4 linked regions of the Struthio camelus genome follow. The protein of the gene in region 4 purifies or fractionates together with the protein of the main gene of each other region. This does not show direct contact. Links are inferred from orthologs where the notes say so. Each region holds a gene or a part of one and is shown on either strand. Other genes may lie near its edges. The genes, in order: SEC13, NPRL2, SESN2 and MIOS.

Region 1 (7,664 bases), on a different chromosome or scaffold from region 4:
CAAGAAGTCCGTATTGCTCCAAGAGAACACTTACAGTATGTGCATTGCTGATCTTTTTGACTTCCCACTGCCCATCACCCGTGTAGCTCAATAACGAAATGGCCCCATCAGAGCTCCCGCAGGCCAGTATCAGTCCATAGTCATGTGGTGCCCAGCAGACAGAATTCACTGTGAAAAATGAGAAAGACTAGATTACAACACAGTGACTAGCTAAAACTGACAAACTGACTAATATTAGTGAATAGTCACTAGAAGTGAACAACTTTGAAAACTAAGAACGTGAGTCTTAGCGTTCTTAAATTTCAAAGCCAGTCGGTTAATTCGGTTCCCTGAATGATGGAAATCTGCCAGTGTTTTTGGCACCTTTTTAGAAAGGGAACACTGAAAGAATGCTTTTAATGAGAGTAAAAAACCCTGACTATACCCTACAACAGCACAGAGCGTCACTGACTCTAGAACGAAAGCCAAGTGACAGGAATAGTAATTATAGGTCTACATAAGTAACAAAACAAAGCTGTGTATCAAACAAGTAGCCCTCCTCTCATTTTCCATGCAGGCTTAGTCTTCGGAGCATTGATCAAGAGCAGTTTCATTGATCCCTTTGAGAATAATGCTGAACAGCAAAACTAGCTACTGTCTTTCCTTTCTCAGGAGGCCACTATCATCATCTTAGGGCTTTAGCGTACTCAAAACTTGGGAGACTTCTCAGATTTGGCTGTAGGAGGACCAGTCATCTGAACAAAGCAGCTTCCGTTGTAAAACAAAACATAGCACGCTAAAAATCCAATTTTTCTTTCTTCCTAGAGTGGACACATGCAATATTGGATCAAGAATTCTGAATACTACCTATTTATTTGAAAGCTGATTTATTTGTAGAACAACTGCAATGCAAACATTACATGAATTAAAACAGCTGGTTTTCAAGCAGTATGCCTTTACATAAACGTCATCCTTATGTTGACTAGACTTCCTGTGTCTCCATTAATTCAATCCTTTTCTGTTTGATAAACACTTTTTTTCCCTTAACACCGAAGGATTTATTCCAATCTTATCTGAATCCCCTTTTATCCCCAGTTTCACTTCCCAGCTCCAAATACCACATACCTGAGGAATCATGCCCTGTGTACTCATACGTCTTTTCCCAAGTGCCATTTTCTTCTTTCCAAATAATAACCTTCCTGTCATAGGAACAGGAAGCTAGGATATTTCCATACATAGGATGAGCCCAGGCAACTTGCCACACTGGACCTTCATGCCTGCAAGAAACAATGTGAAAACAAATATTTATCTACATATTAACAAATAAGAGCATACTTCCAGGAAGTTATAGGCGGCCAGCATTCAATGAATTAAAAAGCCACACTGTTATTTCTAACTGGGTCTCTGTTCCCTCTCGCAGCTCTGAAGAGTTGTTTAGCAACAACTCACCGTAGCAAATACTATCTTAGAGGAATTTACTATGCTTCTTACATTATCAAAAGGCAAAATGATGAACTATTACAATTTTCCACAGAATAAATTCTTCTGATTAACGCACTTTACCCTCTTAGGTCTGCTATGAGGATTTGCCCTCCGTTCCGAACATCAAAGATTTTCACAGATCTGTCTGAAGAACAGGTTGCTAACCGAGTGCCGTAATAATCCATCTGAGCATCATGCTATAAGGTAACGGAAAAACTGCTGCGTAAATTTTGATTTGTTAACAATTATTACATTTTAAAAGTAGCTCTAAGAATTGCAAGCAATGACCGACTCCCAGGATGGCGGGATAAAGAGTACAGTTTTAAAGCAATCTAGACAATCCACATAAATCATCCCTCTCCCCATTACTGGTTTCACAGTGCAAAAGTTAGTGCAGAAGTAATCTAGGGAATTCAGAGTAGCAATATACAGTATTTTCAGGAGAGGGCAGGAAATCAGTGTCACCGATTGTAAAGCCTCGACAAAGTTAAATATTTTTGTTTCTGAATAGGTAAAATTTGAATAAAAATACTGCTCTATCTTATTTATGTTTGAAATTGCGTTATTTAACTCTACTAACGCATTGTTCCTTCAAATCACTTTGAAATCTGTCTTTGTATCTGTGCTTACACCTCTGTTCCCAGAAACATCCACATAAAAAAAATGAATCTAACTTATCCAGTTCTGTACCATTTAGCATATGCATATATTTGGTTTCACAGAAGCAAGTCTAGATATCAAAGTTAAAGTTTAGAATTATTTCTCCTTCCCTAGGTAGCTCCATTTTGCGGTCTACATGGGATGAAATGGCACTACTGGATTTTCTAGTAGTGGTATGCTTTCTCCATCTAATAACCCCCCCCCCCCCAACACACATCTTTATCTACAGAGCATATGCATTATATTCTTCATTCCACCTAAGCAAGTGCCGTAAAGTTAATCTCATAAGACAGTACAGTTAACAGAGCTGAACCGCGTTTAGTTCCCCCCGCCCCCACCGCGGCCGTGTTAAACAACAACGCGCCCGCACAGACACTTACTATCATGTCCTCGTGGGAGGTGTCCACCGTGTTAATTACTGAGACCTGCAGGGAGGAGGAGGGGAGACATGAACAAATACACTCCGCATCCAACCTGAGCAACTGAAAAGATACACTTCGACAAAAGCAGGGGGAAAAGGAAAAGGTCACAAGTTACGGGCCCCCTAACCCGCATGACAGGCGAGCGGAGTCCCCTGGGCTCCGAGGGCCTGGCGGGACAGCACGGGCCGGCGGCCGGCCGGGCGGGCCCGCGGCTGCCCAGCTACGCAGCGCCCGGCGGGCCGCGGGCCCCGCTCCTCGCCGGGGCCGGGGCCGGGGCCGGGGCCGGGGCCGGGGCCGGGGCCGGGGCCGGGCGAGTCCCCCCTACCCCTCCCGCTGCGGCCCCGGCCCTACCATGACGGCGGCTCCCTCGGCGGCGACCGGCCCCCGCCCGCCGCCCGCGCCCTGGGACGTGGCACGGCGGTCCGTCGCCGAAACGCGCCCGGCCGCGCGCGCCGCCCGCCGGCCCCGCGCCAAGGTTCCGGCCGCCCGCCGGCCCCGCGCGCCAAGGTTCCGGGTATTTCCACTCTTTTGGAGGCAGACTCGAGCGCTTAACGACGGGAGCGCTTCCCACCGGCAAAGCCAACCCGCCCGTGGCCTTGCCCGTTGCGCCAGCGGGCTTCAGCGCGGGCGCCAGGGTTTAGTCTGAGGAGAAACCGCGCTGCGGGAGGAGAAGCGCTGAGGGCACCACGGCCGAGCCCCAGCTCTGCCCCCGCCGCGCGTGGGCCCCGCCCCCGGCTCTGGCCCCGCCCCCGGCTCTGGCCCCGCCCCCGGCTCTAACTCCGCCCCGCCCCTGACTCCGCCCCGCCCCTGACTCCGCCCCGCCCCGGCTCGGGCCCCGCCCCCGGCGCGGCCGCGGCAGACCCCCGGCCGCCGCCGCCGCCGCCGCCGCCATCTTTACGCGACACCCCCCTCGCCGCCGCCACCTCCACCGCCGCCATGAGCAGCGTCTCCTACCACATCTCCAACCTCCTGGAGAAGATGACCTCCACCGACAAGGACTTCAGGTGCCCCCTCTGCGCCGGGGGGTCAGGACCGGCATTTGGGGGGGGGGTCTTCCCTGCTCTGGGGGGAGGTCAGGACCGGCTTGTATGGAGGGGGTCGGGGCCTGCACTGTGGGGGTCCGGACCTGCCCTGGGGGGGGGTCGAGACCTGCCCTGGGGGGGGTCAGGACCTGCCCTGGGGGGGGTCGGGACCTGCCCTGGGGGGGGTCGGGGCCTGCACTGTGGGGGTCAGGACCTGCCCTGGGGGGGGTCGAGACCTGCCCTGGGGGGGGGGGTCAGGACCTGCCCTGGGGGGGGGTGTCGAGACCTGCCCTGGGGGGGGTCAGGACCTGCCCTGGGGGGGGGGGTCGAGACCTGCCCTGGGGGGGGGGGTCAGGACCTGCCCTGAGGGGGGGGTCGAGAGCTGCCCTGGGGGGGGTCAGGACCTGCCCTGGGGGGTCGAGACCTGCCCTGGGGGGGGTCGGGACCTGTATTAGAGGATCTCCCCTACCCTAGGGGGTCAGGACCTGCCCTGGGGGGGGTCGGGACCTGTATTAGAGGATCTCCCCTACCCTGGGGGGTCAGGACCTGCCCTGGGGGGGGGGTCGGGACCTGTATTAGAGGATCTCCCCTACCCTAGGGGGTCAGGACCTGCCCTGGGGGCGTCCCCCCTGCCCTGGGGGGTCTCCTCTGCCCTGGGGGGGTCAGGACCTGTATTGGAGGGTCCTGGCTGCGCTGGGGGTGTCAGGACCTGTGTTCGGGGTCCCCCCTGTGTTGGGGGGTCTGCTGCATGTTGGAGACCCCTCTGCGCTGGGATATGCCCTACTCCGGGGGGGGGGAGCACCTGCATTGGGGCATGCTGTCTGTACTGGGGGACCCTCTCTGTTGGGGGGAACCCTTTGCATTGGGGAAAACCCTGCACTGAGGGGGTCCCCGTTGCGCCGGGGGTCCCGTTGCATGGGGTGCACCCTGACCTGAAGGACCCCTGCACTGGGAAGTACCTTCTGCGATGGAGGAGTCCTTTGCACTCGAGGGGACCCTCCGCATCAGGAGCGGGCACAGTGCCCCCCCAACCCTGCTGGCAGCTAAAATCTTAACTGCAGGCATGGATGGTATTATTTTTCTCAAAGGCGTTCATCTGTTTTCTTTGCAATATTTTAAACCGAGCATTTTTTTCAGGATTGAGGGGAGGAAAGCAGAGACACCAATGATTTTCCCCTCCCTTGTGTGTATCGCAGCATAATGCAAATAAGCAAGCAAAGTGGAGAGGGGAACAAAAGTAGTAATAACTAGATTAGGCTTTAAAAGCTTATTTGTTTGCAAATGAAGAACATCATAGCAAAAATGCTGAAATAGTTCTTCATTTGTTTTTCCCCTAGAAGTTAGATGTTCAGTGTATTAGAAACAGTGCTCTGGAAGGCTGTGTCACCCAGAGGATGGACGCTGCAGATGTTGACTGTATTCAGACTGCTTTAGGAACTATTTCTGTGCAACGGGAAAAGACTGCCGTTGCCGTGCCTCCCTAACAGGACTAAGATGCTTTTATTGCTTTTTGTTTATGTCAGTAGAAAAAAAGAGACATCTTTTTAGGGTTGGGGTAAGTGGCTTAATATTAAAGGTGTTCTATTAAAAAAAAAAAAAAAGTTCAAACTAACAAATATGAAAGATTTTGCCCACGAGCCTCTGCTGTTCTCCATGTCAGCCTGGAAGGTAACAGTTGTGCCAGACTTGATACCCGAAAAGTAGGGTGACTTCTGCCCAGGCTGCTGCTGTTTTTCTCATGCTAAATGGATACTTTTAAAGGAAGTCGATGATGGAGTAGTTGCACTAACAGTTTGTTCAGGAAATTTGCAGTTAATATTCCGCGCAAGATGTGCCCAGCACAGGGCATTTGTCACTTTATAGGGATATTCCACAGACATTTCTCCCCAGCACACGATTAAGCGTGGGCATGTTATCTTCTGCTGCGTGGCCAGGCGTGTTTCAGTTACAGGACTGGGTTTCATGTGCTTGTGTCCCATAAATAGATCTGTATACCAGTTTCTGAGGGACCGGTGGGCAGGATGGCAGCAGGTAGCCAGTCGAAAGCTGGATGCGTTGCTGTGGCAGCTTCTGCTCAGTCCGTGGCCATAATTGGTCATGCTTTTTCTATGCGGATGATGAGCGGAAAGTGCAGCTTAATAGCTCTTGCTGAATCAGAAATAGACTGCATATTCTTAAAATTATAGGTCAGAATTGCTCTGTTTTTCTCATGTTGGATGGCTGGCTGGTTATCTAATACCACAGCAGTCTCTAGTTCCCCATGTACCTACTTACTACTGAAGAACAAGCTTGCACTTTGAAGATACAAATGTTGCCCTGGCACATTAGGGCTTTTAACTGCTGAATGAATTACATCAGAGCCTAATTTAAAATGGAGGTGTCACCTGGTAAATAAAATAGAGCAGCTTCTCTGTGCTGCCTTTTAGACGTTCATCTCTGTGCCTGGACTAACATTAGAACAGAACTAATACATGTTAACCCTACTTAATTTTTCGCAGACTTCTATACCAGCACCTTGTACAGATCCTGCTCCCAGGAAAATAGATACTTTCTAGAACTTTTCAATATTGATTTTGACATTGTCCCTATTATAAAATAATATTGACTAGGAATGAGCTGGGATATGTTTTTCTTTCTAAGCTGGAATGATAAATGCAGTGCTTGATTTTGCTCATGGGAGAAAAAAGTGCAATCAGAAATGGTCCTTGCTGCCAAATATTACCTTATGTTGTTAATCATATCTGAATGTAATTAATTGGACAGTGGATAGGGAATAAAGAGCAGGTGAGTGCTTCTTAGTAAAAGGACACCAAAGAATCCAAAGGGGGAAATGAGATGGTCAAGGCTGCACATAATGCTGGAGGAAGATAACTTTTGTAGTGGTCTTTTCAGCGATAGAAGCTGCAGCGCAGATGCAGCATCTGTTATTTGTCTTGGACCCAAGTGATAAAAAAGCCTGCGTGCCGTTCACAGCGTTGTGTCCTTCATTAGCAGTGCGTCCGTGCAGCAAGATGTTTAGTACCTTTTCTGTGGAACAGAAAAAAGCCTCTGGAAGGGAACTAAGTAAGGAAAGAGGTTGAGTATGTGGATGACACCACTGTTTAGGTTAGGAAAGGCTCCAAGGAGCAGAAGGGTATAAACAAACTATGACTGGGCTGAATAATGGAAATCTAAATATAGCCAAGGTAAATTTTAAAGCGTAGTTTACTTTGTTTTCTTATTTTCTTAGCTTGATAGGCCATCTCCATGTTTGGACTCATACAATTCTAGAAAATGGAACTGGAGAGGAAGCCCAGATCTCATGATCCCATCCTTCTCCTGCATGGAAAGATCAACTCTGTCTTAGCTGTTCTGAGCATTTATTTGTTTTAGTGATATAAACATCATTTCCAGAAAAGGGTAGGCTAAACTGTGTTTTGGTGTGTACGTTACCCTTGGAATTGGTAGTCAAGTTTCAGAACTGCTTGCTGCTCCCTGTTGTAGTGGTCTAATCGACTACTGCATTTGATTGCTAGTAACAAAGATTCTGTCAATGATACACATAAGCCAGAAAGAACAGAGCTAGTTGTGTTCTTAGACCCCAGGCTCGTTTTCATAAGAATTGGCCAGTTGGGGAGAAAAATAAATATTTTTCTAGCATCCTTAACCGTTTCAATTTGGAGTTACCGAAACAAAATATACAGGCGAGATCCCACAGTGACAATTCTAGAGTCTTGGTTTACCCCATCCCTACCAAGTATTTTTAGCGGAGGAGAGAATGGGAAATAATGTGTATTTCTCATTTTCATAGCTTCCTTAGCTAAGTCCTTTTCAGCCGTTACCTCTGAGTTTTCCACTTGTAGGATAGTAATGATTATTTCTGCCTTATTTTTCAGCATACTGTGAAAGGGCTGTAGGTTACTGCTTGGAAGTGTTTTTTCGTACATGCACTATTCATCAAGTTTCAGTCTCCAACCAATCTCTAGGAAATGCATTTGTGTATGTATATCAGCCAATCCACTGCTGCTGTATGTTGTTTCAGATTTATGGCCACCAATGACCTGATGATGGAACTGCAGAAAGATTCTATAAAGCTAGATGAAGACAGCGAGAAAAAAGT
Region 2 (7,581 bases), on a different chromosome or scaffold from region 4:
GGAGGGTCCGGGCGCTGCTCGATCACCTTCAGGTGAATGGTGTTCGATTCATCTGGCCAGAGAAAAAGCAGCGCTCAGTTCACACAGGAACCTCTGCTCCCGCAGGCGCTCGCTACCATCAGCCCCAGAACGCCATGGCTGTGAGCACCGGGAACCAAGGCGCTGCCAGCACCAGGCAAGGCTCACCTCCCCCAACCCTCTCCACAAGGCTCCAGCCAGCAGAAAGCAAAGCCCTCGTTACTGCCGCGGCTGCCCTGCAGACCTACTGCTGCGACAGTACCTATGGGCAGGGTGCACTTTCCTTTGGCGTTCAGCTCCTCCAGCAGGATGGTCATTATCGGGACCAGCTTCTGTTTACTCTCTTCATTGGAGATGAAGCCACTTTCCAGCTAAAGAAAGCAGAAAGTTGTGTCAGCTCCTCCCGGTGCGATTACCAGCTATAGGAACCGCACACGTCTCTCACATCCCTTCCTCTGCTCGTTTTCCCGGCCAATCTTAGAGAATCTTTCCTCAAACAGTGAGGCTAGTAAAATGAAGGGGCACTGTAGCGACAGCAGAGGTCCCACGGCATCAACAGAGCAAGGTTCTGCCAGGAATCAAAGCTGTCTTCAGAGCAGGGAGCGCGCAGGAGGCCTGAGAGCAGTTTGCTCGCTTCAGATTTTCCTTGGTCTTTCTATAGTTAAATATTCCTAAACTTCCTCTGAGCTTTCATCAGACCTCTCTCTGCATGGCTTTTTTTTTTTTTTTATTACTCTTAAACTTAAGAGTAAGAGCACAGCTAAGATCAGCACAACCCCCTCCTCAATCGTAAGCCTGGCCCATACCCCAGCAACGCCCAGTGACGTGCAATTTGCACCAGGATGTTGATGATGCTGCAGGGCAGATCCTGAGCAGCAGCCAGAGACAGACAGACAGCCGCACAGAGGCAGGGCACCGTGGGCAGCTCACCAGAAGCATGTTTTTCTGAGAGACAATGTTTCCAGCTCTCATCAAATACCCACCAGCAGGCATAACGATCTTCCTTGCTGATCAAGCAAAGGAGAGCACGGTCAAACACGTCCCACGCCAGGCTGCCTGCCCTCATGCCCCTGAGGGCTGGCGGGGAAAGAACTCTGTCCTAGCCCTGAGGCCAGCGAAAGAGGGAAGCCCTTGGCCAGGTCCCCCTCCAACCTGGAGCAGCGGGTTTGCCTCATGCCTTACCTCCAGGGTGGTGAGGTAGCCAGCCAGCTTCTTCACTATGGGCTCCAGCGCACAGGCCTTGGCTCTGGCGTCGCACACGAAGCCCAGGTTGAAGAGCAGAGCGTTTCGGCTGTACTTCTTGTGCTCGATACAAACAGGACAGCCGATCAGCTTCTTCTCCATGGCAGTCCTGTTGGACAGACAGGCATAACCTGCATCTACCTCTTCACGGAGGCTGGAGATGTGACCTCATGAAAGGCCAGTTCCCGGTTTGCTTTGGAAACAGAGCTCCTCTTGGTTCCGCCGGCAAATTGATGCCTCTTCCCCAAATGCTCAGCCTGTCCAGAGTCTAAAACAGACTTTCCAAGGAAATGCAAGGCAAAGAGTCAATCATTAGAGGGAAAACCTGCATCCTTCCCGAAACCAGTGTGCCTCTCAACACTAATTTGAATTTCCTGGATTTGAGGCTTACAGAGAAGCACAGGCAGTGCAAGCCACCCCCAAAATCAGATACTCAAACCCTCTGCACAAGTAACACTGGGCCTTATAATTAACGTATTAACCCCTGGGACAGAAACCCCTGTGAACCCAGAGCCAGAGCTGGCAGCTGGAAGACTCCATGTTGTCACATAACCAGGCTGCCATCTCTGCTGAGCCACCAGGGAAGACCTGCCCAGTTCTGGTGGGGACAGCAAACCCCACTGGGACCGGACACGCGCCTTGACAACACTCACACAGTGATGAGCTTGTTCTGCAGCTCGGGCTTTGTGATGACGTACACCTGGATAGTATCGAAGAGCTCCCGAGATATGAAGTCCTCTGGGACCTGCAGCACCAGAGAAAGCCCAGTTCTCCCCCTGCAGCACACCGTCGGGACAAAGGGACTCGCGGGCGACGCACCACGCGCGGGTGGGCGAGCGGGTCCCTGGCAGCAGGGCACAAGGGCTGCGCTGGGGGCTGCTCACCGCCCAGGACGGGGAGCGACTGGACTGCTCGTGGGCCCGACGGCACGCACAGGGCGGCACGGCCCCAGGGCGCTGCCACGGCCCCGGGCCCGTCCCGGTCGGTGACGCCGGGTCCCGGGCCCACTCCAGTGCCCACCCCGGGGCAGTGATGCCGGGTTCCCTGGCCCATCCCGGTGCACACCCAGTTGGTGATGTTGGGCCCATCCCGGTGCCCCCCGGGTCGGTGACGCCGGGTCCCGGGCCCATCCCGGTGCCCCCCCCCCCGGGGCGGTGACGCCGGGTCCCGGGCCCATCCCGGTGCCCCCCCCCCCGGGGCGGTGACGCCGGGTCCCGGGCCCATCCCGGTGCCCCCCCCCGGGGCGGTGATGCCGGGTCCCGGGCCCATCCCGGTGCCCCCCCCCGGGGCGGTGACGCCGGGTCCCGGGCCCATCCCGGTGCCCCCCCCCCGGGGCGGTGACGCCGGGTCCCGGGCCCATCCCGGTGCCCCCCCCCCCCGGGGCGGTGACGCCGGGTCCCGGGCCCATCCCGGTGCCCCCCCCCCCCCCCCGGGGCGGTGACGCCGGGTCCCGGGCCCATCCCGGTGCCCCCCCAGCCCCGGTCGGTGACGCCGGGCCCATCACGCCCCCCTAGTGCCCCCAGGGGGTCCGGCCCCACCTGGTAGGTGATTTTGGGCCCCAGCGTGGGGTGGAACTCGCTGAAGAAGACGCACTCGATCCTGCCGCCCATGGCGGCGGCGGCGCGGAGCGGCGCGAGGCGGAGCGGCCCCCGCCGGCTCCCGTAGCGCTTCCGCGTGCGCACGGAGCGCCTCTGCCGGCCTGACACGGGATGACGGAGCGCCGCTGCGTCACGCGGCCGGAGGCGAGCCTTGGCCCTGAGTGACAGCGCCGCCCGCCACTCGGCGGGAAGCGCGGGCGGGCTCCGGCGCTGACGGACAGCCGCCTCGGCCAACGAGGAGGCGCCGCCGCGCCCCCTCCCCCGGCGGGGCGGCGGTGCCGGCTGCCGTCCGCCATGGCGCTGCCGGGGGAGGTCGAGTCCCGCCTGTACCGGGCGCTGCGGGCCGCCTCGGGCGCCGCTGCCCACGCCGCGGCGCTCGGCTTCCCCGCCGCCGTGGCGCTGCCGGCGCGGCCGGGCTCCAGTGAGTGCGGGGGGCGGCGGGGGCCGGGCCGGGCCGGGCCGCCCCGCACCGGGCCGGGCCTCACCGCTCTCCCTTCCCTTCCAGGCCTCTTCTCCTGGCACCCGCTGCTCATGGCGCTCGCGGTAAGTCCCGCCGCCCCGGGGCCGCCCCCAGCGCCGAGCTGGGGCCGCTGGCGGAGCGCGGGGGGTCGCCGCCGCCTCCTGCGGGGGGGGGGGCGGCAGCAGGTCGAGCCCCCCCGGGTCCGCCCGCGGCGCGGAGGGGGCCGGGGGGAAGCGGCCGGTGCCGACTCTCCTGCCCTCTGCCCCCCCCCAGTTCTCCTTCCTGCTGACAGAAGCCCTGCTGGTTTTCTCGCCGGAGAGCTCCCCGCTCCGCTCCTTCTCCCGCAAAGTCAAAGTGCGGGTGCACTGGGCCCTGCAGCTGCTCGCCCTCCTCTGCGCCCTGCTGGGGCTGGGCATCATCAGCTACAACAAGCACCTGAACGGCAAGGCGCACTTCGTGACCTGGCACGGCCTGACGGGGCTGCTCACCGTGCTGTACACCTGCATGCAGTGCCTCGGAGGTGTGGTCCTTCTCTACCCCAAGCTGGTGAAGAACTGGACGCTGGCCAAGCTAAAGCTGTACCACGCGACCTCGGGGCTGGTCGGGTACCTCCTGGGCTGCACCAGCCTCATGCTAGGCATGTGTTCCTTGTGGTTTACCACCTCGGTGACCGGCGTCTCTTGGTACCTCTTGATGCTGTGTCCCATTCTCACCAGCCTGGTGATCATGAACCAGGTGAGCAACGCTTACCTGTACCGCAAACGGAGCCAGCACTGAGGGCCCGGTGGGGATCAGAGCTTGCCTTGTGCGATCCAGCAGGGCCAGGGCTCTGTGGGCTGCTGGACCTGGGAAGCCTCCCGTGGGGGGTCCCTTACTTGCAGTCGCAGTGGTCTCCTCAGAACTAGATTTCTACCTACTCGTCTGTCGTTAGTCCTAGAGTGTCTGTAGTGTCAACCTTGGTCTCAGGGAGCAGCTACGATGTGTGTAACGCACGTGACGGGCAGGAGCTGCCTGGCCTGCGCCCACCTTGGAGGGGAGCAGCTTGCCGGCACAGGTAACTCTGCTGGTCCCTGCAACGGCTTGCTGCTTGGCAGAGGACTGCTTGCCTGCTCCGATGCTGGGAACCAGAGGGTTAATGACAGCTGTCACTCAGGATTTCTCCCCTTCTCTTCTTCCCTTACGCACCAGGTTTGTTTTGGAGCAGGTGGGCAGGCTAGGAGCTGTTATGTTCCTCGGGGGAGTCCCTGCTCACCTCAGCTGAGGGCTGGCGCCTCCTGGCTGCCCGCTTGCCGCGAGGGGCGGCCGGGCTGAGCCCTGGCAGATGGCAGCCCTGCAGGCAGAGGGGGCGATGGCCGCACCGGGCACGTGCCCCGTTGCCTCTCCTGCAACAGGGGCACCGTCCCTGGCAAAAACCCTGGGGCAGGGCTGTGGCTTCAGCCAGCTCTGCCGGGGGGCAGGAGGGCCAAAGCGGGACTGTAGCGTCCATGGCGAGCTGCGCGGGGGCACAGCCCCAAGCAGGGACCCCCGGGGGCTCCACGGGGTTGGGGGCACCTGAGCCCAGCCCAGCGGGACCAGCAAATGCAGGAGCTGGTCGTGTTCAGCCCTACTTGACAGCCCCAAACCCAGGCACCTATCGCCACGCACAAATCCCCGCTGCCTGCTGGGGTGCCGAGCAGCGTAACGGGGAAGCCTAGGCCTGGCAGCAGCAGCGGTTGTTTTACACAGCAGGTTATCGAGCTGAGCTGCAAACCAGCAGTCTGCTGAGGCCTGTTTTGTCCCCGTGTCTGATACTTCCTCTGGACCTAGCAGCCCCGCTCTGTTACAGCTGAGCCAAAGAGCAGCTCTGAGGGGTGGAAGGAAAATAAGTGCAGGAGGGAGCACTTTGCCTTTGCCTCCTGCTGGCACACGCGTGGCAGGGAGCTCTCCCCAGCAGACAGCAGGGGCCGGAGGTGCCTTGGGTCCCTGCAAGGGGAGAGCGTGCCCTGCCAGCCCCCTCCGGTGGCGGTGCTGCCCCTGTGCCTTGGCAGAGCTCCCCTCGCAGCAGGAGGGGACCGTGTGCCCCTCCAGCCTAGCCCTGTGAGCGGGCCAGCCCTGGCGGGCTCCTCAGGATGCTGATCATGGTGCTTGGCGCTCAGCTGGAGGACAAACCATCGAGCTGGCCTGCAAAACGACCGCTTGGAAGGCAGAAAATAACCTCATCCTGCCTCGTCTCGCCTGCTGGGCGCCGGCAGGCCAGTGTAAGGGGGCCCTCCTCCAGCACAGCAACCTCCTCCCCGGACCAGACACGTCCTGGACAGCCAGGGCACCGCAAGGCTTGATCTGCTGGTTGAATCAAGTGCCGTTTCCCCAGCCCAGCGCGCTGTGTTGGAAGGGCCCCGGGGCTCCCGCCTCAATGCGAATCGTGTGCTCTCTGCAGGGCCGGAGAGCTGAGAACAGCTCCCCAGCTGGGAAATTCCTCTGTATCCAGAGCTTTTATTTAATAAAGAGTTCAGGCAGCTACAGCATAGCAGATCTGCTTACTGCCCTGGGGGGACTGGAGGGAGGCTTTCAGCAGGCGAGCAGGCACTCTTTCCCCCTCTGAAGCAACAGGTTTCCTACCTCTGTGTGTGGGATGCGTTTAACAAAGCAGCAAAGATGCTGTTCCCACGAGTGTTTGCTCTGGTGCAGGGCTGAGCTGGCACCAGCTCTCAGACTCCCAAACAGGGAAAGTGGCAAGGGGAAGGGGACTCAGGATTTGAGCAACATCGGTTGCCCCCAAACTGAAGGGACCACGCGAGACCGCCTGGCCAGGGCAGCTCCTTGTCCCGTCTGGCTTTCCAGGCACATGGGTCAGGGTCAGCAAAGCCTACGTCTGTGTCCTCCAGTGAACGCATCTATTTGTATGCTCCCACCTCCTCCCTTCCAACCAGCCTGCTTTTAAAACCCAAGAGCCAAGCCAACAGTACAGCCTCCCCTTCCTGGGGGCCTGCCCTCGGGCTGCGAGGGAAACCTCTCCCAGAGGCAGGAGCCCAAGCTCAGCTCTCCTCCTCCAGGCCCTCCCTGGTACCAACCTGGCCCCGAACACAAACCCCAGCGGGCTGCTCAGGCCCCGCAGGCTCTGCACCCCGGCTCCGGCCCACGCTCCGACCCAGGAGCCGTGCCAGCAGCAGCGGGAGGCTGACTCAGGGACTAGCCAAGCAGCTCTCTTTGAAAGAACTGTTTATTGATACTGAAATTTCTGTGTTTTTACTGGTTGACAAAACCTTCTTGTGTGGTCCTTTAAAAAAATAATCATGACACTGTCAACCCACGTCCCAGACTGGGAACTGCCCAGGGAAATCAGGAGCTGGAAGTGGCACAGCCGGCTGGGGCTGGCTCTTCAGGGAAGCTTTTTCAGGGAGCATCCCCTCCATCAAAAAAAAAAAAAAAAAGTCCATCAACACAGAGGAAGGAAAACAGAAGGGGGAGCCCATATTCTACCCGCAGGAAATAAAACCTGGTGCCAGAGGAGGCAGCGAGCGCCCCACTGTAAAAACTAATTCCAGCTTCTAGTATAATCTGGCAAACGGATTAGTCGAGCAGCAGCTGAGGGCACTGGCTCCTTCCAGAGGGGCTGGCTTCCAGGGAAATGAATCACTGCAACACAAGAGGAAGGAGAAAAGTCCAACACCACAAAATGAAGCCCCTCTCACCTCTAGGAAAAGTCGGGGATTGATTCCCGTTCCATGCACTAACTGCAAAGCTGAGAGTAGACGGCCCCGGCCCCGAGCGGGAGCTCACGCCAGGCCACTGCAGCAGCAGCAGCAGGTGCTGAGCAACTACTTTCCTTCTGAACAGGCTTCTCAATCTCTGGCCTGGCAAACCTCTAACTCAGGACTGATCATGTCAAGCTCCTGCCAGAGCGCAGGGGAGGGTCAATACAGGAAAAGGATTCGGAACAGAAACCCGCAAGCCTTCCTATTCCTCAGATAAGGAACAAAAGTTACTTCAGAAAGGAGAAAAAGAAGTTTTGGGCACTCTGGACAACCACTATTACAAAAAAAGAAGCAAGAAAGTGCGCTCTCACTTGCTGATTTTGCTCCTGTGGGCGCCGTGAGGTTACTTTGTGGTCAAGCGCAGAGGCCTCAGAAAAGGGAGCCTATCTGTTGAGCGTGGGACAAATCTGAGGCTGGATCAGTCCAATGTCTCCCTCCCGGAAAGAAAGCCCCCGCTGCCAGCAGAGACACCCCCCCTGGGTGGCTGCCACGGCGCACAGGACGCCCGCCCTGCGCAGGCGGGAGGCGC
Region 3 (7,590 bases), on a different chromosome or scaffold from region 4:
GTAAAGGGACAGGACGGAGTCCCGGGTCTCGGTCCCCCAAAGCGCCCCGACCCCCCCCCCCCCGACGGGGCGGGCAGGCACCCTCTTACCTCGCCGCCGCGCAGGGCCCCGCAGCCCCGGTACTCCACCAGCCCCGGGGGGCCGCACTGTGAGCCCGCCACCAGCATGGCAGCGCCGGGCCGGGCCGGGGGGTCTAGAACCGCCCGCGAGATCTAGAACCGCCCCGGGGCTCTAGAACGCTCCTCGGTTCTAGAGCAGCGCGGCCCGACACCCGCGGCTCCTTCATAGCGCGACCGCAGGGGGGCCGGGGGGGTGTTAACCCATCTGGCCCCGCCCCGAGCGCCGCTCGGCCAATGGGGTCTCTGGGGGCGGGGCCTCGGCGGGGCCGGCCGCCAATAGCGAGGGGCGGCGCGGGGGCTGCCGGGGGTTGTAGTCCGCGGGGTGGTGGGGGCGCGCGGCCCCCCGGCGCGTGCCGAGGGCGGAGCGCGCCGCGCGTCCCGCCTTTCCGCTTGCACCGGTTTGCCCCAGTCCGGCCGTGCGGGGCGGCCAGGGCCGCTCTGCCCAGGGCCCAACGGCGTCCCCCGCCCCGAGAAAGGGGGGAGCTGGCACCCCCGGCCCTGACCCGCGCCCCGGCTTTGCACCCAGCGGTTCCACCCTCAGCTGCGGTGCAAAACAGCAGCCTCCCCCCGAAAAGAGCAGCCGTGCCCTCCCGCCCGCTCCCCGCTCCAGCGCCGGCTCCCCTCCCTTGCAATAGCGAACGCCGATCGCAATAAAAGAAGGGGAGAGGAGGGAAGAAAAGGAAAACAAAAACAGGAAAAAAGAGGCCCCGGACAGCAGCGCTGATAACAATCTGGCGCTGCCTGACAGCCCGCACGCGGCAAAGTCCAGCGCACGCAAGTCGCTGCACAAACAACTCGGGTTTCGCCTGGCAACAGCCTCCTCCGGCTGCCGTGCCGAGCGGCCGCCAATTAGGCGAACGCGTCCTTGCGCCTCGGCGCAGCGGTGCTGGGCAGCTCGGCGCCGGGAGCTTCGCGCGCCTCTGACCGCCTTCCCCCTTCCCGGCGCCTGCAGGCCTGCATGCACCTAGGGCTATTTTTAGTGGGGTTTCACGAGCGCGGCTTGGCGCGGGTTTGGGGCTCCCAGCGGCGCCCGGACGTTCGCGTTTGTGTTATTTGAGAGGAACGGGAGCTTTTTAGCTCCCTTTTTTTAATTGCATCAGATTTGAAGGGGAGACGGGTGAAGCAAGGACCAGGCTGCCCGGGGCCCCCACGCTCCCCGCGGCACCGGTGCAGCGCCGAGCCCGGATCCCTGCACCCGGCTTTGGGGAAGGTGCATGCAACCCAACCACCGGTTTTAAGACAACTCGGCCAAAACCTAGCGCTCGGGAGCGGATCAGGCAGCCTGTACCTCCTCCGTCACAGCGCGGCTCGCGGCGAAAGCGCCAGAGCTCGCCCAGCCCGCGGCGCCCGGACGAGGGCAGTCGCTCCTGCCGGAGACGCCGTTTCGGTCCACGTCTCCCAGGTAGAAATGGCTACAAAAAGAGGGGAACCTGCTCTGCAAACCCCGCAGGAGCTGCGGCGTTGCGTGGGGTAAAGAGAGCTCGAGGATGCTCAGGATGCTCCAGGGCGGAGCCCCGAGATGGAGCAACCCTCTGCTCCCAAAATATTTATCATCAGCCTGGGGGGAACGGTCAGATCCGGATTCACGCCCGGTGCGGGGTGGGAGATCGGGGGCCGAAGCCTCCGCCGGCTGGCGCGCCCGGCTCGGCCCTGCGCCCGGAGCGACAGCTCGCCGAGCAGCCGAGCCTTCGAGACCGCGGCGGCGGCAACGAGCAGGGGGCCGAGCGCCCGGAGGCCCTCGGCTCCGTGGCAGCGGGGCAGGACGCAGCCCCCTTAGCGAGAACCCGCATCGTGGGACAGCGCGGCAGCGAGCCCGGCCGGACCCCCGTGGCAGGGATTTGCACCCGCTGCACCCCGCAGCGCAGCAAGGCCCAGGATGCGCGGCTGAGCAGCCCCCTCCGCCCCCCCGGGCAGTACCAAATATTTAAGATAAAAACATCCCCCCAGAAGACATCGAGGGCTACGCCAGGACCGAGCCGCCCCAGAGCCTGCTGCCCAGAGCCTCCGGAGGGGAAGGAAGGGCCGAGCGAGGTCGGGCGGCTGCAGGGACGAGCAGTGCGCTCGCTCGGCAATAAGGAGCGGCACGCGATCCCCCATCTGCTCCGCAGCCCTGGCTGAGCCGTCGCCGGCCGATTAGAGGCGCGCGGCCGGTTACCTGCAGCCTCAGCACTTTTCCTGGCCTGTTTGCAATGCTCCTTCCCACGTACCAGCCGGCTCGGGCTGTCAGCAGCTTCTCCCCTCTCTCGACAGCAGCCTGGCAAAAGGAGATGACCTGCTGCCACCTCTTAGCTGCAAGGGGCTTGTACCCTCCGCGCTCGGCGCTGGCCCTGGGGGTTTTCTCTCTCCCCCTTCCACCCGGTGGTGGTGGTGCTGCAAGAGATGCAAAGGGGCTCCTCTCCCACGGCTCCGCGTTGCCTGGGCCTCTTCGGTGATTTGCAGGTGATTTGCAACCCAACCACAGGGCTGCAGCCAACAGGAGCATCTCCAGCCGCCGCAACCTTCTTGCTCTGTCCGCCAGGAGGGGCAGAGCGAGGCCCGGAGCGCTGTCGAGCTGGGGCACGCTGGGGACGGCCGGCGGCTTCCCGCTGCACCCAGCTCCTTGCACGTGATCCCAGGAGCTGCTCAGAGCCCCCCCAACCCCGTCCAAACCACCGCCAGGTCCAGCCATGACTGCCTGTAGGATCAGGCCTGAAACAACTGCTGGAAAAATGTCAGAGGCTTCATTCCTCCGCCCAGCCCCTGGAAGTTGCTCTTGAAAAGCAGCCTGGCAACAGGAGCAGAGATCCCCATCGGACAGCACCTTGCCCAAGGCTTCTTGGGGCTTTGCCACGTAGGAGGAGGCAGCGCAGGCAAGGAGCTGCCTGCTGAAACGTGCAGAGATTCAGGGGCGGTCTCTGTGCTGGATGGGGTTGACCACTCCAAATCCCTTCTATCCACACCCCTGCACGTTTATTCTGCAGTGAATAAACAAAAGTGAAAAACAGCCCAAAGCAGTCCCTGAGCCTTTGCATTTAGTTAAATTTCCCTGCAAGAAAACCCTCTGCAGCTTTCTCTGGCATGGAGACAGCCGCGGCGAGAGGGTGCTGCCTTGTCTTTCCTAAACAGGCGCGCTCCAGATGTGCACGGCTCTGTCGGGAGCCCCCGTCCGCGCCACGAACCTGCTGCCCCAGCAGCCGGGCAGACTTTGCCCACGCCGTCTCACCGACTGGCCTCGACGCCGGGCGGGAGGGAACGCCTCCGCGCGCAGGACCGGCGTCCTGCCGGCCTCGGCCCTCCCGGGAGGTTTGGGTGGGGAGGGCACCGCGCGCCAGCCCCGGCACCAGGAGAGCTTCACGTCTGCCCTCGTGACTTGAGAGCCTCTCTAGGATGAACCAGTTTGGTGCCAAGCAGGGAACTGGCCCCCAGCCTAGCAGGGGGTAGAGCTACCGAAGCAAAACCGGTGGCACCAGGCAGTCCCAGAGCAAGCGGCAGCATCTCAGGTCCTGCTTGGCAGCCCTCTGCTCGGCCTTCTGTCCCACAAGCCCCACCAAAGAGCGCTTGAGGTCTCACCTTTTGCTTCTGCGGCAATTTGAATTCAGCAGCGCTCGTTCTTCAGGGAAATCCGACTGCATAAGGGTTTCTCTGCGCTGGCTACTTCACGAGGGTTTCCCCGCCACACAGCAGCACAGCTTGCGCAACGAGGATCGTTACAACATTCGTTGAGAGGAGGGCGACAAAGCAGAGGCAAACTTTTCTAGAGGCTTCGAGAGCCGAAGCCAAACGCCCTGTTTGCAGAAGCACCAAGCATGGGGAACACACAACGGCTCTGTAATTATTTAGGCACTGCGAGCGCCCTAGTTAGCTAGATGCTGACTGTACAATCTGTTGATTTAGTTCAACAGAGTGCTGTTAAGAAAGCTGAACGGGAAGGCAAGACAGATTGCTTAAGATAAGTCACCTTTTAGCAAATAGTGAGGTCATCCAGGGACAGCCGTTGCCTTGCTTGGCTTTCGCCGGCCTGGTGTTTCCAGCCAGGCAAAAAACCCCAAGGACAAAGGGAGGCAGCAGAGACCGCACGGGGACTCTCCTCTCTGCAGGGAGCCGGGGGGGAGGATCTGCAGTAGGTAAGTCACACACAGTTATTTAAGCATTTCCTTTTCCTATGCGCTTTGCTCCTATCAAACGAGCGGCAAGCTGGTTTGCCAGCACAGGCTGGTTACTCTGTGCCTCCCCCCGTTACAGCCTCCTGCCGGAAAAACTACAGGCATTCGGGCTTGGTGGGATGTGATAGGGAAGCCTAATCCGTTTGCAGGGTGGAGAAGAGGGAAATTCCTCCGCAGCAGGACATCAGAGCCTGACAGCGGTTGCATCATTTGAACCCGCAGAGGGTGAAGCTAACCCTGCAACGCGGTCGGAAGCGTCGCAGCGCCACCTGAAACCAAGGCGAACGGCAAATACCCAGCTCCACCTGCCCCCGGGTCTTCTCTCTGTTAAGGATCCTGCGCTGCAAATAGAGGGATAGAGCTTCAGGAGCGTAAACACATCAGAAACAGTGGCTTGTACTGGTCCAAGCTGTTTTGGAGCTTTAGCAACCTGCAGGAGAGAGCGTTTCCATGCGCCTCAGGAGGGAGCACTGAGTACTGTGTGGTCGTACACTGGTAAGGACTGGGGTAACAGCCCCAACGCCTTTGGACTCCCGGACCTTTCGAGATTCCCTTTGGAAGGAGGCAAAGGGTAGCCGAGCTTTCTTTGTGGGAAACCTCTCTTGTGGAAGAGGGAAAGCACCAACCCAAAGGAGCTGGTCTAATTTTCCATTCCAATTTTATCCTCCTAGCAGATAAGAGAGAGTAGTAGGTAATGCTGAATATTCCCACCCCTAAAGCCCCATTTGCTCTCTGCGGTGCTCTGCATCGCCCGCCTCCGAAGCACCCACTGCCCTCTCCGCTGACTTTGCAAGAAGCCTCGTCTCTCAGACAGCTTGTTTCGCTTCACCTTTCTGCCCCTTCTTTCCTCATCTCGAGAATGAGGCTTGCGCTCACCTCTCCTGGATCAGTTACAAAACATAAGTTGCTGAAGCTTTAAAGGATTTTAAGACCCTTAGGTGTTTGTTTTGTTTTTTTTTTTTTAAAGACAATGCAGCACAAACCTGTCGCCCTCCAGGGCATGCTATGTGAGCCAGCGCTCCCAGACAGCCCCAGCAATTAGGGAAAGGAATGGAAGGGAGCATGTTTCTCTGTAATTACCAGCTGGTTAAGGCAGTTTACTTCTGCTGCGGGTACACGCTGTTAGGCTGCAAAGCAGTTTATTCATTCGCCTATTAAAGTTCCAGATCCTTGCCAGGGGGCCTACAGCTTTGGAAAGGAGACATTTATTCAAGTAATTACTTAAAAAAAAAAAAAAAAAGTTGAATCCTCTTGGTTAGTAGAGGTCAAAAATTGCTTTGCAATACATTTTCATTGTGTCCTGAAAACCCAACCAACTCGAACTACCTAGGTTAACATTTCTGAAGTTGCAGCCTCTTGACGCTGGAAGACGGCGAGGGCTAGCTGAGTGTCAGCTCACCTAAACTAGTGGAATGGGGCCCAAAAACTGGAAGTCTAATTTTCAACCCTGATGTCATTACGAGGAGGCAGCTGAGATCAGTATATAAGATTCTTTTCAAGCGCATTCAGCTACCGTCAAAACCAGCAGAGGATATTTTCCGAAAGCTTTGAAATAGAGTAATCACAACCCAAAATAAAAAAAAAATCCCTTTTGCAAACATGCAGGCTGCTTTAGGACCACTGAATAAACCACAGAGAGAAGGAAGTGTGCACTAGCAGATAAAGGCAGGAGCCAATCAATTCTTACTCAAGGTCTGGCTGGGAATTGCAAAAATTGCCCACAACCCATTTGAAATTCTCCCTGCAGCTCTGTCAGGGCAGAGACAAAGTGGCCCCTCCGAGACACAATACCGAAGGTGGAGAGCAAGGGCTTGAGGAACTGAGGAAATTACACTCTGGTTCCAGCTCTACCCACTGACTTGTAGCCTAGCCTTCGGCAAAGCAGTTCTCTTATCTATCTTCCTACCTGCTGTAAATGAGGATAATTGGGCACTTTCAAGGATACAGCAAGGTTTGCGCTGCGATCAGCAGAGATTAAGCGCCATATAAATGCTAAGCACCACTGGCACAGTTACGTAGCGCTAACCAGAGAAAGCGCTGCCAAGCAGATTGTCTCTGCACGCGTTGCCTTCTTGCGCCAGGAGAGCATTTGACTTGGCAACTGTGGCAGGCTAAGAGCTTGCGATTTAGCCACCTTTGGCTAAAAACGGACCTAAGAGGAAAGTACCAGGAGCTACTAAAGGCCACAGGTGCAACGCTCACCTCAGGAAGCCCCTAAGCCACTGGGTGCTAGAAGCCAACAAACTATTGCTTTGTTCATGATCTGGTTTTGTACCCTCTTCCCCAGGATCCCCTCCGTGGCCTTTACCTGGCGAGAGAGGGTACTCATCTAGATTTATGGTCTGACCTAGCACAGCCGTTCGTAAATTCCTACAACAAGTTACCCTGAGTCAGCTGAGCCACAATAACTCAGCAAGGTGGCAATAACCTAAATGCTTCAAGCAGGACATCCCTCCCTCGACACGGCTTGTGGCTACTTCAGGGAGCCAGAGGTCCAACAAATCCAGGACGAAAACTCTGACCATTTACAGGTGGAAAACAACCACATCAGAAGTAGTAACTCAGAGCTCAAAAGAAAGGGGAAGAAAACTTACATCCTGTCCTTTCTCCTTCCCTGAAAGTAGCACTAATGGCTGCTAAAAAAATGAATGACTCACCTGGAAGAGGCTATGAAGAAAAATATACAACTGTTCCTTCCACTGGGGTTGTAAGGCTGTAGCCAGTGGACTTAGGACAGACTGCTACCCTCTGTGAGCTACTGTAATACAGTTCCTAAGGGGGGCAAGTTAGAGGAGGCAACAGCCATCTGAAATACACCATCTCTTTCCTTTCAAATATGTCTCAATGCACACAAATCAGTCTCTTTTCACAGGCATTAGAAGCCAAAGAGATCAGAAGAATAAGACTGATGAAAAAGATTCCCTAGAAACTATTTTTCTTCTCGGTGTTTAACTACAAATTTGGGCATTTGTCACAATTAATGCTTTCCCAAACAATGGCTGTTCTCCGCGTACAGCTCTAGATTTTGAAAAACATAAAAGAGAGAATATTTTGAGTTGGAAAAGCTGCTGAGGTGTTTCTTCAGAGCTACGGTTTGCAGTTCCTCGTTCTCCACTACAGGCAGTGCCCTGAGGACAGACAGGTTCAGGGACACAGCACATCTGCCCCGCCAGAGGAAAGCAAGGTGCATCAGAGAACTGGTCGCCTCACTAGGAAGCTGCAATGACAGATGAGAAGCAAAGCCACAACACGTTGACCTACAGCTCCCACAAGGGCCAAGGAGCACGTTCAGATGGAAGTATCAGGAGAGTTTTGGGCCACCAAATTTC
Region 4 (7,606 bases):
CTGTATGTTTCTGTTAGCAATACAAACTACCACGGACTGAAGGAATAAGAAATGTAGAACTGACCCAGTGTGAGAATTACTGTGTATCAAGTGTAGCTTGCTTGTCCTGACCCTTGAACTGGAAACATCTCCTCTCCCACTCATTTACGAGCCTGCAAACTCCTGCTTTGTTACCTACCAAAGTACATTTTAATTGTCACTGTTAGAAAAGGAGAAAGTGTAGCCTTGCTAGTTACTTACTAACTTTGTTGTCATCTCATCCGTCAGATGAAGATCATCCAGGCACAGAACAGGTAAAAGAAAATTAGAAGATATCAAATGTAGTTTTTCTGCATTGTCCCTTTTCTTAGAAAACCCCATGGTAAAAAAAAAGTGTTCTAAAACTTCTAGCTGCTGCAACCATACCCTGGACATTTGGACTGTCTAGGGGATCCACACCATCAGTCATTAAAAAAGCCACTTTCACACTTTGGTTACAACCTTCAGTTTTAAAGAGCTGAGCAGCATTAGAAATTGCCTAATAGGAATAGATGCCATGGCCAATAAAACTCATACTCTTGATTTTGTCTTTAAAATTCTACACATTTTTCCAAGCTGTAAAGGGATGATCAAGGCTGACTGTGCTGCTCAACAGCATACTTGCCAGTTTGACATTATACTTCTGAGATTTAACTTGTTTCATCAAAAAAATATTGTCATGTAAGTTGTAAACAATTCTCTTCTGTGCTTCAGACAATCCATTATTTACACTTTCTGAACTGTCCAAGATATATACTGTATCCAAGAGATACATATCACCTGTAATAGAATAAAAAGTTGCAGAGACACATCAATGAACATTGCAGAAACTTGTGCCTTAGAATTTAGATAACTCACTGGACCATTTCTAGCTTTGTCCCTTCCTCCTTTGTCCCATTAAATTACCTCATTCTGCAAAAAGTAATAATGATGAAATTCTGCTCCAAATTACATCATTACAAATTTATCACAACAAGTCATCCATGCTTGATTAAAACCACTCATACCAAGGACCTAAATTCTCTTAGCCTTAAATTTACATAATAGGTTGCCCAGCAAATTAATTTACTAAAAATGATGAGCATTGTCATAATTTCCCAATGTGAAAAATAATGATTAAGTTTCATCTATGTTCATCTGAAACTACATAAATGCAGGAATAAACAGTGGAACACACTGCAATATGCACATTATATTCTACTGAAAAAAACAAATAAAATTGTTTTAATCTGGACAATTATCATTCTGTATCAGACCATTAGGCTTTTGTAGTCTCTTTCTGGTTTGTCCATAAACCATTTGGTACGTGAAGACAGCCAAAAGCATAAAACAACAGGCTGAATGTTTTAACTACATAGTGATTCTGATCCAGAATCAGATGACTTACTCTTCCTTTTAAAAGAAAGCAAGTATCTATCACACTTTGATAATAACAAGCAAATATATAGATGCACATACTGTATATGCAGAACTGGGCATTCCATTGAGCACATTTTGGATCTAGAAGCAGATTCAAAAGAATAACATAAACAAAATGGTGACAACTTATTAAATACATGCAAGAAATCACAACAACAAGTAAAATCTCAGCTGTAGCTCATTTATTGAGCTCTTTGAGAGAAAATACAGGCTGAATACACATGGTTTTTCTCATTATATTTTCTGAAGACTATCTAACTTTCAGTTCTAAGATAGGCAGATGATACCTCCATTATTACTGTAGTATTACTAGCAGAAACAGAAAATATTTTTTTAAAAACTGTTACTAACAAATAACTGAATTTACAATCCATATTTCTAAACTGAACTTTATATGTGGATTTACTTTCAGGTTTACAATGCTGAGTGTACATTCTCTTTTTCTTTAGAGGCACTGGTTCACATGTGAAATTCTAAGTCTTCACACCTTATGAGCTTTTAGTAACCGGGTATATAGAATTGTTTGGAAAATAAAAAATACTAGTCAATGTGGTAACTAATTTCTTCAATACAGATTCTCAAATATACTAATTTCAAAAACTGCCAACAGCCTAAGAGTAGTTAATTTCAAATATCATCATTAGAATTACACAATAAATTATCAGTATAATAAACATATTTATTAAACATGTTCTGAGTATTTTTTCAGCAGCTGAAAATCTATTAATATTTTTCTGAGAAGATAAAAAGGAAAAATACACCAAACAAAACAGTAATATAACAACTAGAATTAATAAGAGCAACACATACATTTATATATTCTGCTGTTTTTGTTCAGTACTCGGATAATTTCATTTGTGAAAAATGCTCTAAACTATTTATTTTCTTACCTTTCAATGCATTTAAGCAGCAAAATGTAGACCAAACTTCAAGTGACAAGGTGACCTGAGAATATGTTTTTATAGGACCAATATGAAAATGAATAGCTTCTCTTCTTATAATGAAGATTACCTTGCCTATGAATCCTTTTGGTACTGTATTCACGTTTTGTTAATCAAAATTGAATCTAGTGGTTAGGCATTTAGCCGAACTTACATATATGGGTGAAATAAAAAGTCATTTATTAAAGGGACAGAATCTATGAAGTATTGTCAGTGCTTTCTTAAATTCAATTACCAGATTTATACATGCAAACTCTGCTTATCAATAACCACTGTCGGCACTTACGTCTTTTTTGGCCATAAGATGCTTCTTTTTCCTGCTGATGCACTGAAAAATACTTGACAAGGGATGGCCGGCTCAAAGTACCATCATCAACAGTAGATAAAGAATATACTTTCTATTCTGGAGCACCCTACACACTACCTGTGCCCAGTACGCTAAGGAGTATAATTATATTGTTTAAGTTTGAAAAAAAGAAACAGAGAAGAGAAGCAGATTGCATCATTGAAAGGGCAAAAGGGCCTCCTGTATTACATGACAAAATTTCAGCAACTGATTCCAGCACTATATCCATAAAATATGTAAATACAATAAAACATTTCTTTTAGTTGATTTAAAGAGTTCCAGTGGTAGAGAATAATACCACATATTTGATATCTGTTCCAGGAACTGTTTCTTCTTCAAAATGTGTATCTAATATTCTGCCAGAAGACATCAAGAGTTATTGGCTCTTAAAATGCCTTTATCTGCAAGCCCTCTAGTATCAGCCCTGTATTCATAAGTATAAACTGACAGTACTGGCAGGAGAATATTTTTCCACATAGAAAATGTCCAAACTTTTTGGGCTTGTTTTGGTTTTCTGAAGAACTCCAACTTCAAAGATACATCACTGTGGGTACTTCAGAGGGATTTTAGGTCACTTGCCATCTTCCATCTTCTGACCACACAAGTAGATTCTCTAGCTGGCCTGGACATCTCATATTCAGCACCTCCTCTACCATATTGGCGACAGAAAAGAAGTTTTGAGTTGTGGTGCATCTGCTTTACAGACAAGGACTAATATAAAACACAACTCAACTGTGTCACCCTTTGGAGCAGAAATATTTAATTTTCAGTTGCATTAATATGTCACAGAATTACTTGCACGGAAAGCAAAATTATAGCATAGCAAAATAAAATTTTACTTAGAAAACCCCCCAACCTTCCCACGTGGAAAAGTTTTGACAGAATTTTTTATAAGCTCTATTTATCAACCATGGAGAACTTTCTTTTCATGTCTGCAGAAGTACTGGATTTACTGCATGTGCACGTGAGTAAGTCTGTATGTGCTACGTTGCCATTACTGAGAAGCACCTGGAAAAGGCAGAAGCTGGGAGAACGCCTGTTGCCAGAAGCCTATGTCACATCCCCATTCTGTGCTCGAAGGACTCTGCAGAACCATTTGCAAGGCAAACAGGCAACAGCAGGATACAAACTGAATAAAATTTCCTGGTTGGTTTTATATATGACATCTCAGTTCACATCCGTTGCATTTTTCAGTAAATAAGACCGTGTAGTTGTTTCACACTTGCTAACTGATTCTACTGACTTGTAAAATCTAGGTATCCTTGCCACTGTTGCCCTTTTCCCACCTCTGCCACTGGCCTACTTTTCAACGCACACCTTCCAGTTATGATAAAGACATTGAACAACGTTACCCTGAGCAATAAGAGTATTTCAACGAATTAAAGAAAGAAGTGGGTGTCAAATGGTCTCCTTCCCAGCTATGCTGCCTTCATGGGGCAACCCCCACTCAGCCGTAAGAATTTTTGTGTCTTCACTGGTGCCCTCACTGGAAAAAAACAACCCCTCCCCCCCGCCCCAAGCTTTTCAGTTTTAACCAAGTCAGTTGCGGGCGCTGCACAGGCCGGTCTCTGGGCATTTTGAGGGTGTCTGTTCAGGGGCAGGGAACTCAGAGCCTCCGCTTCGTTCAGCAACGCCACTGTCACCCACCGCTGTACCGGGGTACCGCGAACTGCCCCAAACCTGCCGTTTCCGCGCCATTTCAGGGCCGCACGCGCAACCCCCGGACCCGCTACCACCTCACACAACTCATCAACCGCCGCTTCCGCAGGCGCCCCGCCCCCCGCAGACACCGCCCGCGACGCCTCCGCGCACGGCCCCGCCTCCTCCCGCCTCGGCACCGCCCACCGCGCCGCCGCCGCCGCCCGCCTCGCGGCACGCGAGGGGCGGCGCTTCCGCTGGACCAATGGAAGGAGACAGCAGCGCCGCAGCCCGAAACTGGAGGTTCCCTTCGCCCGCCCGCCCCGGAAGTGGCACGAGCTTTTCTTCCCCGTTGCCCCCCGCAACCGGAAGTCGTTGTGCGCCTCCCACTCGTGCCGCTGGGCCAGTGGGGCCGGACTGGGCCGCGGTCCCAGCCCCGCCGGTGGCGCGGCGGCGGCGGCGCTCTCGGAGGCCCCGCGCGGTGGGTGAGCAGCTGCCGCGCCCGAGGCGGGACGGGGCGAGGCGGAGGGTGGCGCTCCGCTCCGTTGCCGCCACCGCTGTGTCCCGGCGGGCCTCGCCGGCGGCGTCCTCGCTCGGTGGGCCGCTGCGCCGGGGAGGCGGGGCCGGGCCGGGCTCCGGGCTCCGGGAGGGGGGTGCCTGCGCTGCCCTGGAGCCCTCGGGAGTCCGGCTGGGGAGCCGCGGGAGAGCGAGGGCGGGGAGAGTAACCCGCAGACCCCGAAAGGAGGCTGGGGAAAGGAAGTAGTGCTTTGTTTCTTATACTTTCCCCGTCTGCTAAATATTTCTCCCAAGTTTAAAAGGTTATGGGATTGATGAGATCCTTTTTTTTGTGTGTAGGCACATGTAATTAGTCTGGACGTTCACCTGCTGAAAATGTAAATGCAAGTTAGCATAAGCGTGAGTTTATGAACGCCTCTCCACGACATATCAACAAAATCAAGGTAGTGTTGGTGCAGAAAGTAGTATTAGGAACAGTAGAATAAGATGAGGAGTGGAAAGTTGTATTCCTCTACAAATGTTCAAAGAGAGTAAGCCTTTTTAGGCTTCAGAGAAAACAGGCAGACTCTAATTTCTGTCAGTGCACTTAAATTAGGCAGAAAAATTTTCTTATACATGTTCTAGGGTGTGGCTCTTTACCAGCAGCACACTCATGGATCATGCCACATCACGTTTCAGTTGATCCTTTCTTCCTGGTATAATAATGATGTAATACTGGCATGGATTTTGTAGACACACTGAACCCTGTTGTCAGTTTTGTAGATGGCTATGTTGGTTTCTCAGGAGGTATAGTCCAGCAAAAACAAAGCATGCTGTAGGGAAAGTGATGTAACGTGTAGAGCGCTTAAGGTTTGTTTAGCCCTTAGACTAAAAGTAATTCAGAGCCTTACTCTTCTTTGTTTAAGAATGATCTCTGATTATGAAGGGGTTTGAGGGTTTTTTTGATAACATTGCTAAAAATTACTTTCTCAACAGTTTCTATGTGAATGGATATCACCTGAATCCTCCTACAAGAGTTTAAACTTACCCTAAATATGAGTGGCTCCAAACCTGATATTCTTTGGGCCCCACACCATGTTGACCGTTTTGTTGTATGTGATTCAGAATTAAGTCTTTACCACATTGAATCTGCTGTAAGTTCAGAACTGAAGGCAGGGTCCCTGCGGTTATCAGAAGAAACTACAGCTACGTTATTGTCCATAAATTCAGATACACCGTATATGAAATGTGTGGCTTGGTATCCAAAGTACGATCCTGAATGTCTTCTTGCTGTTGGACAGGCCAATGGTCGAGTGGTACTTACTAGCCTTGGTCAAGATCACAACTCAAAATCTAAAGATTTGATCGGCAAAGAGTTTGTTCCCAAACATGCACGACAATGTAATACTCTAGCGTGGAATCCACTAGACAGTAATTGGCTTGCTGCTGGATTAGATAAACACCGGGCTGACTTTTCAGTATTGATCTGGGATATTAGTAGCAAATTTGCCCCAGAGACGGCAGTTGCTACAGAGAAGGTGAGACTTTCAGCAGGAGATCCAGAAGCAGGACTGGTAGTAACAAAGCCGCTTTATGAATTAGGACAGAACGATGCTTGTCTCTCTCTTTGTTGGCTTCCACGGGATCAGAAGCTTCTTTTAGCTGGCATGCACCGAAATCTTGCTATCTTTGATCTAAGGAACACAAGCCAAAAAATATTTGTAAATACCAAGGCTGTTCAGGGAGTGACTGTCGATCCATATTTCCATGATCGTGTAGCTTCTTTCTATGAAGGTCAGGTTGCCATATGGGATTTGAGGAAGTTTGAAAAGCCTGTTTTGACCTTGACAGAGCAACCAAAACCTCTAACAAAAGTAGCATGGTGTCCAACAAGAACTGGACTGTTAGCTACTTTAACAAGGGATAGTAATATCATTAGATTGTATGACATGCAGCATACACCTACACCTATTGGAGATGAAACTGAGCCGACAATCATTGAAAGAAGTGTCCAACCCTGTGAAAACTACATTGCTTCATTTGCTTGGCATCCCACAAGTCAAAATCGAATGGTGGTAGTGACTCCCAATAGAACTATGTCCGACTTCACAGTTTTTGAAAGGATTTCTCTTGCGTGGAGTCCAGTAACATCTTTAATGTGGGCTTGTGGGCGACATTTATATGAATGTACAGAAGAAGGAAAGGCTAGTTCCTTGGAAAAAGACATAGCTACCAAAATGCGGCTGAGAGCTCTATCAAGATATGGTCTTGACACTGAACAAGTGTGGAGAAATCACCTCCTAGCTGGAAATGAGGATCCTCAGCTGAAATCGCTTTGGTATACGCTGCATTATATCCTTTATTTCACTGTATTATTTTATGGTATTAATTCTGAAGAAGTAACATACCTTTATATGTAAACCAATGATATGAAAAGCATGAAAGTCTTAAATAATGCAACATCCTGTAAATACTTTGTGTATGTTAATAGCATATGATCTTTTAGTTTAAAAAAATGTTTTCCAAATGCTTGGGGAAAAATTAAGCTTCCTATACATGAAAATACTCATGAAGCAGTATACTGAAGATATGGATCAAAAACTTACAGGAAACAAAGGTCCCTTAGTTTATGCTGGCATTAAATCAATTGTGAAGTCATCTTTGGGTAAGAATGTTCCAACTTTAATATGTTATAGCATATTTACACAAGGATGCACTTGTGGGTTCATTTAAAAAAAAAATTAAAAGA

Evidence for each region.
Region 1: the proteins of MIOS (region 4) and SEC13 purify together in Homo sapiens (affinity purification with mass spectrometry; 5 studies listed by BioGRID and IntAct, counting the BioPlex papers as one, with this or other methods). This does not show direct contact. The link is inferred for Struthio camelus from reciprocal best matches to the Homo sapiens genes MIOS and SEC13.
Region 2: the proteins of MIOS (region 4) and NPRL2 purify together in Homo sapiens (affinity purification with western blotting; 3 studies listed by BioGRID and IntAct, with this or other methods). This does not show direct contact. The link is inferred for Struthio camelus from reciprocal best matches to the Homo sapiens genes MIOS and NPRL2.
Region 3: the proteins of MIOS (region 4) and SESN2 purify together in Homo sapiens (affinity purification with western blotting; 5 studies listed by BioGRID and IntAct, with this or other methods). This does not show direct contact. The link is inferred for Struthio camelus from reciprocal best matches to the Homo sapiens genes MIOS and SESN2.

What each region holds. Positions count from the first base shown.
Region 1 is NC_090955.1:845,077-852,740, reverse strand, and holds the start of SEC13 (protein SEC13 homolog), read right to left. Parts: upstream 3,005-7,664; 5' UTR 2,898-3,004; coding exon 2,895-2,897; intron 2,547-2,894; coding exon 2,502-2,546; intron 1,659-2,501; coding exon 1,543-1,658; intron 1,257-1,542; coding exon 1,105-1,256; intron 169-1,104; coding exon 35-168; intron 1-34. Other genes in the region: cullin-associated NEDD8-dissociated protein 1-like, read left to right, coding at 3,480-3,547, 7,587-7,664. UniProt on the Homo sapiens protein: Functions as a component of the nuclear pore complex (NPC) and the COPII coat. At the endoplasmic reticulum, SEC13 is involved in the biogenesis of COPII-coated vesicles.
Region 2 is NC_090955.1:23,925,583-23,933,163, forward strand, and holds the start of NPRL2 (GATOR1 complex protein NPRL2), read right to left. Parts: upstream 3,016-7,581; 5' UTR 2,871-3,015; coding exon 2,799-2,870; intron 2,006-2,798; coding exon 1,914-2,005; intron 1,539-1,913; exon of another isoform or gene 1,370-1,538; coding exon 1,201-1,369; intron 390-1,200; coding exon 281-389; intron 53-280; coding exon 1-52. Other genes in the region: transmembrane reductase CYB561D2, read left to right, coding at 3,153-3,279, 3,364-3,401, 3,592-4,095. UniProt on the Homo sapiens protein: Catalytic component of the GATOR1 complex, a multiprotein complex that functions as an inhibitor of the amino acid-sensing branch of the mTORC1 pathway.
Region 3 is NC_090964.1:6,449,027-6,456,616, forward strand, and holds the start of SESN2 (sestrin-2), read right to left. Parts: upstream 3,010-7,590; 5' UTR 2,788-3,009; coding exon 2,275-2,787; intron 356-2,274; exon of another isoform or gene 168-355; coding exon of another isoform or gene 90-167; intron 1-89. UniProt on the Homo sapiens protein: Functions as an intracellular leucine sensor that negatively regulates the mTORC1 signaling pathway through the GATOR complex. In absence of leucine, binds the GATOR subcomplex GATOR2 and prevents mTORC1 signaling.
Region 4 is NC_090943.1:29,895,485-29,903,090, forward strand, and holds the start of MIOS (GATOR2 complex protein MIOS), read left to right. Parts: upstream 1-4,593; 5' UTR 4,594-4,847; exon of another isoform or gene 4,848-4,958; intron 4,959-5,217; exon of another isoform or gene 5,218-5,321; intron 5,322-5,853; 5' UTR 5,854-5,912; coding exon 5,913-7,209; intron 7,210-7,423; coding exon 7,424-7,522; intron 7,523-7,606. UniProt on the Homo sapiens protein: As a component of the GATOR2 complex, functions as an activator of the amino acid-sensing branch of the mTORC1 signaling pathway. The GATOR2 complex indirectly activates mTORC1 through the inhibition of the GATOR1 subcomplex.